Linked DNA regions of Tribolium castaneum. The protein of the gene in region 1 binds, or shares a complex with, the protein of each later gene. Links are inferred from orthologs where the notes say so. Each region holds a gene or a part of one and is shown in the gene's direction. Other genes may lie near its edges. The genes, in order: Prp5, Sf3b1 and splicing factor 3B subunit 4.

Region 1 (3,665 bases):
CCATGAGCACGGGAGTATCATTGTCTTTGTCGATAAGCAGGAAAACGCCGATATTTTGTTAAAAGAATTGATGAAAGCGGCGTACAATTGCTTGAGTCTTCACGGTGGTATCGACCAATTCGATCGCGATTCGACGATTATTGATTTTAAGTCGGGGAAAGTCAAACTTTTGATTGCTACTTCGGTGGCGGCTCGAGGGCTAGATGTCAAGCATTTGATCCTGGTGGTTAATTACGACTGTCCTAATCACTATGAAGATTACGTCCACAGGTGTGGTCGGACAGGACGTGCAGGTAAGTGATTAAAAAACCTACAAGAAAAAAGCTCACAAAAATACCACTTACCAATGTTTCAAGTTAAAAAAAAAACACTTCCAGTTGTCCAAAGAAAAAAAAATAGATTTAAAATTTTATTGTTATAATTTTTTTTTTTTAAGTTTTGCAACCTACTGTTTAAGTGAAAACTTAGAAACTGAAATAGTAAAAAACTCAAGACGTTTTTGAGCAATTGAACAATGTTTTATCTTCACAAAAGAACTCACAGAGAAATACGCTCATTATAATAAGCTGTATTTATTGTAAATGGATATTACCTTTCCTCCCTGGTTTCTACTCATGAATAAAGCATTTTCTGTCAATTCAAAAGAGTAACTTTATTTTCTGATCTAAATAACAATTTAAAATTGGGAGGAATTTTACTTAATATTTTGATACTTTTTTTAAGAATTACTCAAAACGTAAACTACGAATATTCTGCACTAATACAATGAAGGAAATCTTACTTTTGTTTTAAACGTTACGTTGTTTTAAACGTTGTTTACTGTTTTAGATATTACACTTCTTTATTTTTCTGGTATAAGAAGAAGAAATAAAACAATGAAGAAAAAAATAATATTAATAAAAAAATACAATCAAACATAATGGGATTGATTTTTTTTGTTCTTGACTTATTTTAGAAGCGGCAATTGTTTTTTATAAATTTTTTGTTTAACTAATATGATATGTAAACACAAAAAATAAGCAAAAAACAATTACTTTTTTCTAAATAACAATTAATAAAAATTAATTAAATAATAATTTAAAATAGTATTTGTATAATACTTTTACTAACTTTTTTATTTTATTTTTGATTTTTTTTGAATTAATTTTTTGATTTTTTTATTCTTACTTTATACTTTATACTTATATACTTTTATGCTTTTTTATTTTTTTATACTTATTTATTATAAAAATGTGTATTTACTAAAACATTAATTTGTTAGCTATTATTAAAAAAAATAAAAATGACGTCATTACTCTAAAATGAATGACGCCAGAAATGCCTTTATGATGTCAAAATGTACTATTTCAAAAAATTAAATCGACTTGTTCGAGGATTTTTTCGAAAAATAATTTATAACATAGTGCGTTACTTTTAATTCATCTGTACAGTCGAACAAAATGAAAATGATGTCTCAATGACAAACGTCAAGTTAAATAAAAATGTAAATTTTTTCATTGGAAAATTTTAACAGCCATCGAAAGTGAGCAATTTTTTTACGATGTAATTTATTCATCAATGTTTGAAAATTATAATTTTTACATAAAAGTTTGACAAATCTAACACAGACTGAATTCAAATGTTTCGATGTTAAACCTAAAAAAACGTTCGAATTTTTACCAAAATTTTTACCATTTTTACTAAATAAGTCGGATAAGTCGGAACTATTTAAGTTAATAATGATTTGTTTTTTTAACGCATAATTTTCTTAAAGAAATAGTTTTATGAAAAAAACTCAACGTTTGGATTTAATTAACTCGACGTTTGTCAATGGAAAATAAGTGGCATTTTAATCCGAATTAGTTTAATTAATTAATTAATTCTGAATTAAATTTAATTTTGCTATCTGTAAACCAGCTCAACTAAAAAAAACTATCTTGAAACTACGTCAAGTTTGCTTCCACAGCTTGAGGCGTCATTTTCATTTTGTTCGACTGTACGTAGAAAAGCCGTATATAAAATTGAGTTGTTTTTGCCAAAAAATTGATTTTAAATTTTTTAGATTTTGTAAATTTTTGTGAGTTTTTTTCTTCTGGGCTTTTTTCTGTGCGCATTTTTTTTCGGTGGGCTTATTTCAATGATTCGTGCAGGTAACAAGGGCTTCGCCTACACCTTCATCACCCCCGAACAGTCGCGATATGCTGGAGATATAATCCGAGCGTTTGAACTAGCTTCAGTCCCCATCCCTGACCCCCTGCGTGCACTTTGGGACTCCTACAAGTCCAAGCAAGAAGCCGAGGGCAAAAAAGTGCACTCCGGGGGTGGTTTCAGTGGCAAAGGCTTCAAATTCGACGAGAATGAAGCTGCCGCAGTCACCGAACGAAAGAAATTCCAAAAAGCGGCCTTAGGTCTTGCCGATTCCGACGATGAGGATTTGGAGCATGACATAGACCAACATATCGAGAGTATGTTTGCCACAAAACGGACGGTTAAAGAGATTAAAGCACCGTTAGGATTGATTAATCCAGCTGCCATGAATACGCAAACGGCAATGGATAAGCTAGAGTTGGCGAAAAGATTAGCTTCAAGGATTAATTTTTCGAAGAATATTAGTCTGGATACGAAGTTTGCCACGCAGCAAGCTGCTGAAAGTATACTGAAGGGGAGCAGCAGCTCGTTGCCGATTACGGCGAAGACGGTGGCGGAACAGTTGGCCGCCAAATTGAATACCAAGCTGAATTATCAGCCGAAGGACGATGATGAGAGGGATGATATTGATAATGAACAGACGTTTAGGAAGTATGAGGAGGAGTTGGAGATTAATGATTTTCCGCAGCAGGCGAGGTGGAGGGTGACGTCAAAGGTTAGTATTGTCATTGGAACACGTTTTTATTGTTTGCCGATTTTACGATTTTTCCCACTTCAGGTAAGTAAACATTCGGAAAAATATACAAAGTGTGTTAAAATGATTTTCATCTAGTCGTCTGTGCCGCAACACAATTTTTTTACATATGAACCGAAATAAACCAATTTCAAGGTTAACTAGTGACAATCATTTTAACACACCTTGTATAATTATGTGAAAAATCGAATTATTGTTTTTGGAAGAGGTTTTCACAACATAATAATATTTATATAATATATAATATATAATATATAATATATAATATATAATATATAATATATAATATATAATATATAATATATAATATATAATATAAATAATAAATAATAAAATGTGTAATGTAAAAAAAATCTGAAGCATGATGCAACTTGATCGGAAAATTGTATCATCAAGCCTCCGGCAAGAGATTGAAAAGTTGCATCAGCTGGTTTAAAGTTTCATCTGTTTGCATGTTTTCCACGCAGTATTTCTTGTAAAATCGGGGTGTGAAGTTCCTCAAAAAATAATTGTGTGAAGTGACCATTATTGGATTTACTTCTCGTCTGTAGAATAAACCAATTAAACTTTTTTCCTCCGTGTAGTAAATTCTTGTTGGAAGAATTTTTTCTATTTCTAATTTGATTAGTCCTAGCCTCTGGCGGCCTGATTACTAAATTAATTTCATAACGTACAGAAAAAAAAATTCACCGATCGTGTTCGGAATTATTCAGAATGGAAACTTTTAACTCGGCTCCGATTTCAAATTATTAATGTGCATGAATGTCGACGCGCTTTCCTGTTT
Region 2 (3,000 bases), on another chromosome or scaffold:
TATTGGTGGTGATCGAACCGTTGCTCATCGACGAAGATTACTACGCGCGTGTGGAAGGCCGTGAGATTATCTCAAATTTGGCCAAAGCCGCCGGATTGGCAACCATGATTTCGACCATGCGGCCCGATATTGACAATATAGACGAATACGTCCGAAATACAACCGCTCGTGCGTTTGCCGTCGTCGCTTCAGCTCTGGGAATCCCCTCGTTGTTGCCGTTTTTGAAAGCCGTCTGTCGGTCGAAAAAATCGTGGCAGGCCCGGCATACTGGTATTAAAATCGTCCAACAAATCGCAATATTGATGGGGTGCGCTATTTTACCGCATTTGAAATCATTGGTTGAGATTATCGAGCACGGTTTGGTCGACGAACAGCAAAAAGTTCGAACGATTACGGCGTTAGGTATCGCGGCGTTAGCCGAGGCTGCGACACCGTACGGTATTGAGAGTTTCGATTCGGTGCTTAAACCACTGTGGAAGGGCATTAGGACCCATCGCGGGAAGGGTTTAGCTGCGTTTTTGAAAGCTATTGGTTATTTGATTCCGCTGATGGACGCCGAGTATGCCAATTATTACACAAGAGAAGTAATGTTGATTTTGATTCGGGAGTTTCAATCGCCTGACGAAGAAATGAAGAAGATTGTGCTCAAAGTGGTCAAGCAGTGTTGTTCGACTGACGGTGTCGAGCCTCAGTACATCAAAGAGGAGATTCTCCCACAGTTCTTTAAACATTTCTGGAATCACAGGATGGCGCTGGACCGGCGAAATTACCGCCAGTTGGTCGACACGACTGTCGAAATCGCAAATAAAGTCGGAGCTTCTGAAATTATCAACCGGATTGTGGACGATTTGAAAGACGAAAACGAACAGTACCGGAAAATGGTCATGGAAAGTATCGAGAAGATCATGGGCAATTTAGGAGCGGCCGACGTTGACTCGCGATTGGAGGAGCAATTGATTGATGGCATTTTGTACGCGTTCCAGGAGCAAACCACCGAGGATGTGGTCATGTTGAACGGTTTCGGCACCATCGTCAACCAGCTGGGCAAAAGAGTCAAGGCTTACTTGCCCCAAATTTGCGGTACCATTCTTTGGAGACTGAACAACAAGTCGGCCAAGGTCCGCCAACAGGCCGCCGATTTGATCTCGCGGATCGCAGTCGTGATGAAGACGTGTCAGGAGGAGAAACTCATGGGGCACTTGGGCGTCGTATTGTATGAATATTTGGGCGAGGAGTACCCGGAGGTTCTGGGCTCGATTTTGGGCGCCTTGAAGGCCATAGTCAACGTGATCGGGATGACGAAAATGACGCCACCGATTAAAGACTTGCTGCCACGTCTGACCCCGATTTTGAAGAATCGGCACGAGAAAGTACAAGAGAACTGCATCGATTTAGTCGGCCGGATTGCCGATAGGGGGCCGGAGTATGTCTCCGCGCGCGAATGGATGCGTATTTGTTTCGAGTTGCTCGAGTTGTTGAAGGCGCACAAGAAGGCGATTCGGCGCGCGACGGTCAACACTTTTGGTTACATTGCTAAGGCTATAGGCCCACATGACGTACTCGCCACGCTTTTGAATAATTTGAAAGTGCAAGAGCGTCAAAATCGCGTTTGCACGACTGTGGCTATAGCTATAGTTGCCGAGACCTGTTCGCCGTTTACTGTTTTACCGGCTTTGATGAATGAGTATAGAGTGCCGGAACTTAACGTCCAGAATGGTGTCTTGAAGTCGCTTTCGTTCCTGTTTGAGTACATTGGTGAGATGGGGAAGGATTATATTTACGCTGTGGCCCCCCTGCTTGAGGATGCGTTGATGGACAGGGATTTGGTGCACAGACAGACGGCGTGTGCGGCTATTAAACACATGGCCTTGGGTGTGTACGGGTTTGGGTGCGAAGACGCCTTGATTCATCTTTTGAATTACGTGTGGCCGAATATTTTCGAGACGTCGCCGCATTTAGTGCAGGCATTTATGGACGCGATTGAAGGCATGAGGGTGGCTTTGGGGCCGATTAAGATTTTGCAGTATACGTTACAGGTGGGTTGGATAAAAGGTGGTATAGAACTGTTATTAATTGAGTGTGTTTTAGGGGTTGTTCCACCCTGCTAGAAAAGTGAGGGATGTTTATTGGAAGATTTACAATTCTTTGTATATTGGAGGACAAGATGCGCTGGTTGCGGGGTATCCCCGCATTGCGAATGACCCCAAAAATCAGTACATTAGATACGATATGGATTATGTTTTGTAACTTAATGTAGTAGTGGCTTGTAAGGATATTGCACTTTTTTTAATTAATTAATGTTATTCCAATGAAGAAATAAATATGTTTGAGTCCCAAATATATTTTATATAGCTTTGTTCATTACTTAGCTGAAAATAATATATTGGCAACACCGAGTTGTTGGCATTCTTGTTTAAAGTTGATAATCGGAAGTAAAATTACCGTTGGGGGCGCCACTGAGCTAGGTCGAAAACAGTAACCATAAATGGCGGGAAAATGTTTATTCGGATATTTTGAGCGTTGTACGAATTTTGGGGCTTCACAATTATTACATTGCCTATGCGGAATGATTATTGCATCTTTGATGCAAGAAACTTATGTTGACAAATGAGAGATGACGAGGAAAACACGAATAACGAATGACTGTTTGGTTCACTTTCTTTATTGGAAAATTATTACAAAGACATTGAAAAACCTACCTTTTGGCATAATTTACGTTTAAATGTATCAGCAGTTGTTAATCTTTATTGTAGTTTTACCGCAGCATTTCATGATTTTTTCAGTGGAAAATTCTAACCTAAAATTTAAAACACTTCACTAATATATTGGTTTCTTGAGCCAAACTTTGTGTTCGCTGTGATCCATTACTTATAATCTTTAATTAGACAACTGTTTGATAACACTTTGTAATCAAAATTTAAATATTTTTCACTTTTTATCCACTTTCAAATTCCAACAATAAACACTTTATACCACGAAAAACTACAGAACCAAAGTCAA
Region 3 (2,518 bases), on another chromosome or scaffold:
AAACAAGAACTAATAAACGCAGAATCAAAAACCTAACGAAACGCAAATCACAAAACACAATAAACGAACAGAAAATACTTGTGATTAACACCGATAACATTTTCGACAACCAAGCGACGACGTCTGTAATTTACTGTCAATGTCAGTTTGACAAATTCGTGACACTTGACGGTGTTGTCGAAGTGCACATGTAAATCAATGTTCAAGGATACCACCCTTAGATAGCCCTTAACTGTTTAAATTTGCATTGTTTTTGATAATTTTTTTATAGCTTTGTGTTGGTAATGAAAAAATGAAATTGATGACGCACACGCAAATCGAGCTGACCGCCACTATACCTAACTAGGCAGAAAAATATCGATAATTTCTTATTTCTTTTTCTTTCTTTTCTTTTTTCTCGTTAATTTTTGTAGTGCGCTTTCACTTTTGCACCAAGCAATGGGCCACTCTGAATTATTAATGTTATTATTGTTATTTAAATATTGAAAACAAAAGTTTTTGTCTACTATATTTTGTAAAAGTATTTGGAAACGATAGGAACAAAACAAAATAACTAAGTTAAGTGTGAAATGTATTATTTTCTTGTAAATTTACATTTTTAAAAAATTTAAAAATTTAAAAATAATTATTAATCGTTTTGTTAGGAAACGATTACTTACTGTGAAACATAAAAACATTAAAAAATAATGAAAAGTAAAGAAGTTAAATACAATAAGTTTGTAGCTCTAGATTTTTTAAAATATGACTTTAGGAATTTTTTCAACATTTTTCCCGTAATCTACACTTGCTTCTCAATAACGTACCACTGAGTTGGTGCGCCAGTTTTTGAGGACCCTGTATAACCGAATTTCAAGATCTCAAATTTTTTCGTTGTCCGCTTCGCATGAAAAGCCCCAATTGTTAAATCAGGTGTAAGTGCCTTGTATTGCTTTATGCGACAGATTTAGGGATTCTCATGTATTGAAAAAAATTACCTATACGAGCATTCTTCCTTCAAAATTTATTTATTTATTTTTATTTATAATTTTGCTAATCTCTGTATGTTATTTATCAGTTGAGTTATTTGTCTCACTCCATTTGGTAAAATTAAACGTTCAGCTTCTCCACATACCAATCTATTTTTTTTTTCAAACGTTTTTTTTATATTTTTTAATATTGTAGATAATGAGAGACCCCGACACTGGCAATTCCAAAGGCTTCGCTTTCATCAACTTTGCAAGTTTCGAAGCATCTGACGCCTCAATCGAAGCAATGAACGGCCAATACCTCTGCAACCGCCCCATTTCCGTCTCCTACGCCTTCAAGAAAGACTCCAAAGGCGAACGTCACGGCTCCGCAGCCGAGCGTCTCCTCGCAGCCCAAAACCCCCTCTCCCAAGCCGACCGCCCCCATCAACTATTCGCCGACGCCCCTCCCATGGGCATGATGCCCCCAGGAATGACTCTCGCTCCGCCCCCACCTCCCGTAATCCTCGCTGGAATGATGCCTCCACCACCCCCCACTCCGGCAAGTATGCAACCTCCTCCACCCCCACCAGTTCCTCCACCCAGTTCTTTCCCCTCGGGGATCCCCCCTCCGCCATTACCTCCCTCCCAACCGCCCTTGCCACCAGGTGCACCTCCACCGCCTCCAACCTCCGCCGCTGGAGCACGGCCCCCTCTGCCACCAATGCCTGCCTCAACGCAAGCTTCAGGCGCCCCCAGGATGATACCACCTCCGTGGCAAGGTGGAGGTGGGTTACCGCCACCACCACCTGGACCGCCAAACTCGGCAGCGCCCCCAACGTCAGGTGCACCGCCGTTCCCGGGATGTTTCCCGCCGCCACCGCCTCCAGGGGGGCGGCCCCCGAATTGGAGGCCGCCGGTTAATTTTGGTGGAGGGAGACCACCGTTCCCACCAAGGGGACCTCCACCACCACCTCCGAATAATTTTAGCGAAAATAATTGGTAAAAACAATAATACAATAAAGTCAAGGTGAATTTTTTTATTTCGTTTTGTGTCTTGTTTTTTGGATTTTCCTATTATTATCCTTTTTATTATTGTCACTATTTCCAGTAAATGGTATTGTGGTACCAGGGGCTTGATATCCTAATTCCTCAAAACTTAATGTTTCTAGTGAAAGTAGAATATGTATCATTGGCAATTTTCGTTTAACAACTATTTGGTCTAAATCAGGAATAACTGGATCCCAAAATTCTTCTACTCTGCAAAATTGTAAAATATGATGCAATTTCTGATCCAAGTCGTCTTAGGCTGAAATTAAGTTGGTGACACTCTTAGTGGCGTTTGCCATGCAATGTCACCAACTTATTTTAAGTCATGTCAGCGGAAATTTTTAATTGAAAACAAACTTACACCCTATAACACAGTTTCGTTATTTGGTGTAACTGATTATTGTGTTCCCGTTTCATAATTTCAGCACATGTTACAGTTTTACCAACAGATTGTCCAAATCCTGTCCACACAACGGCTTTAGCACTTGGAAATTCATTTAATGCGTGACTTACAAGATTCCTTA

The links.
Region 2: Prp5 (region 1) and Sf3b1 share a complex: the UniProt entries of both Homo sapiens proteins name them as parts of the 17S U2 SnRNP complex. The link is inferred for Tribolium castaneum from reciprocal best matches to the Homo sapiens genes DDX46 and SF3B1.
Region 3: Prp5 (region 1) and splicing factor 3B subunit 4 share a complex: the UniProt entries of both Homo sapiens proteins name them as parts of the 17S U2 SnRNP complex. The link is inferred for Tribolium castaneum from reciprocal best matches to the Homo sapiens genes DDX46 and SF3B4.

The regions. Positions count from the first base shown.
Region 1 is NC_087399.1:726,826-730,490, forward strand, and holds part of Prp5 (probable ATP-dependent RNA helicase DDX46), read left to right. Parts: coding exon 1-293; intron 294-2,129; coding exon 2,130-2,842; intron 2,843-3,665. UniProt on the Homo sapiens protein: Component of the 17S U2 SnRNP complex of the spliceosome, a large ribonucleoprotein complex that removes introns from transcribed pre-mRNAs.
Region 2 is NC_087395.1:16,044,177-16,047,176, forward strand, and holds the end of Sf3b1 (splicing factor 3B subunit 1), read left to right. Parts: coding exon 1-2,036; intron 2,037-2,088; coding exon 2,089-2,247; 3' UTR 2,248-2,338; downstream 2,339-3,000. UniProt on the Homo sapiens protein: Component of the 17S U2 SnRNP complex of the spliceosome, a large ribonucleoprotein complex that removes introns from transcribed pre-mRNAs.
Region 3 is NC_087395.1:2,320,479-2,322,996, forward strand, and holds the end of splicing factor 3B subunit 4, read left to right. Parts: intron 1-1,161; coding exon 1,162-1,950; 3' UTR 1,951-1,991; downstream 1,992-2,518. UniProt on the Homo sapiens protein: Component of the 17S U2 SnRNP complex of the spliceosome, a large ribonucleoprotein complex that removes introns from transcribed pre-mRNAs.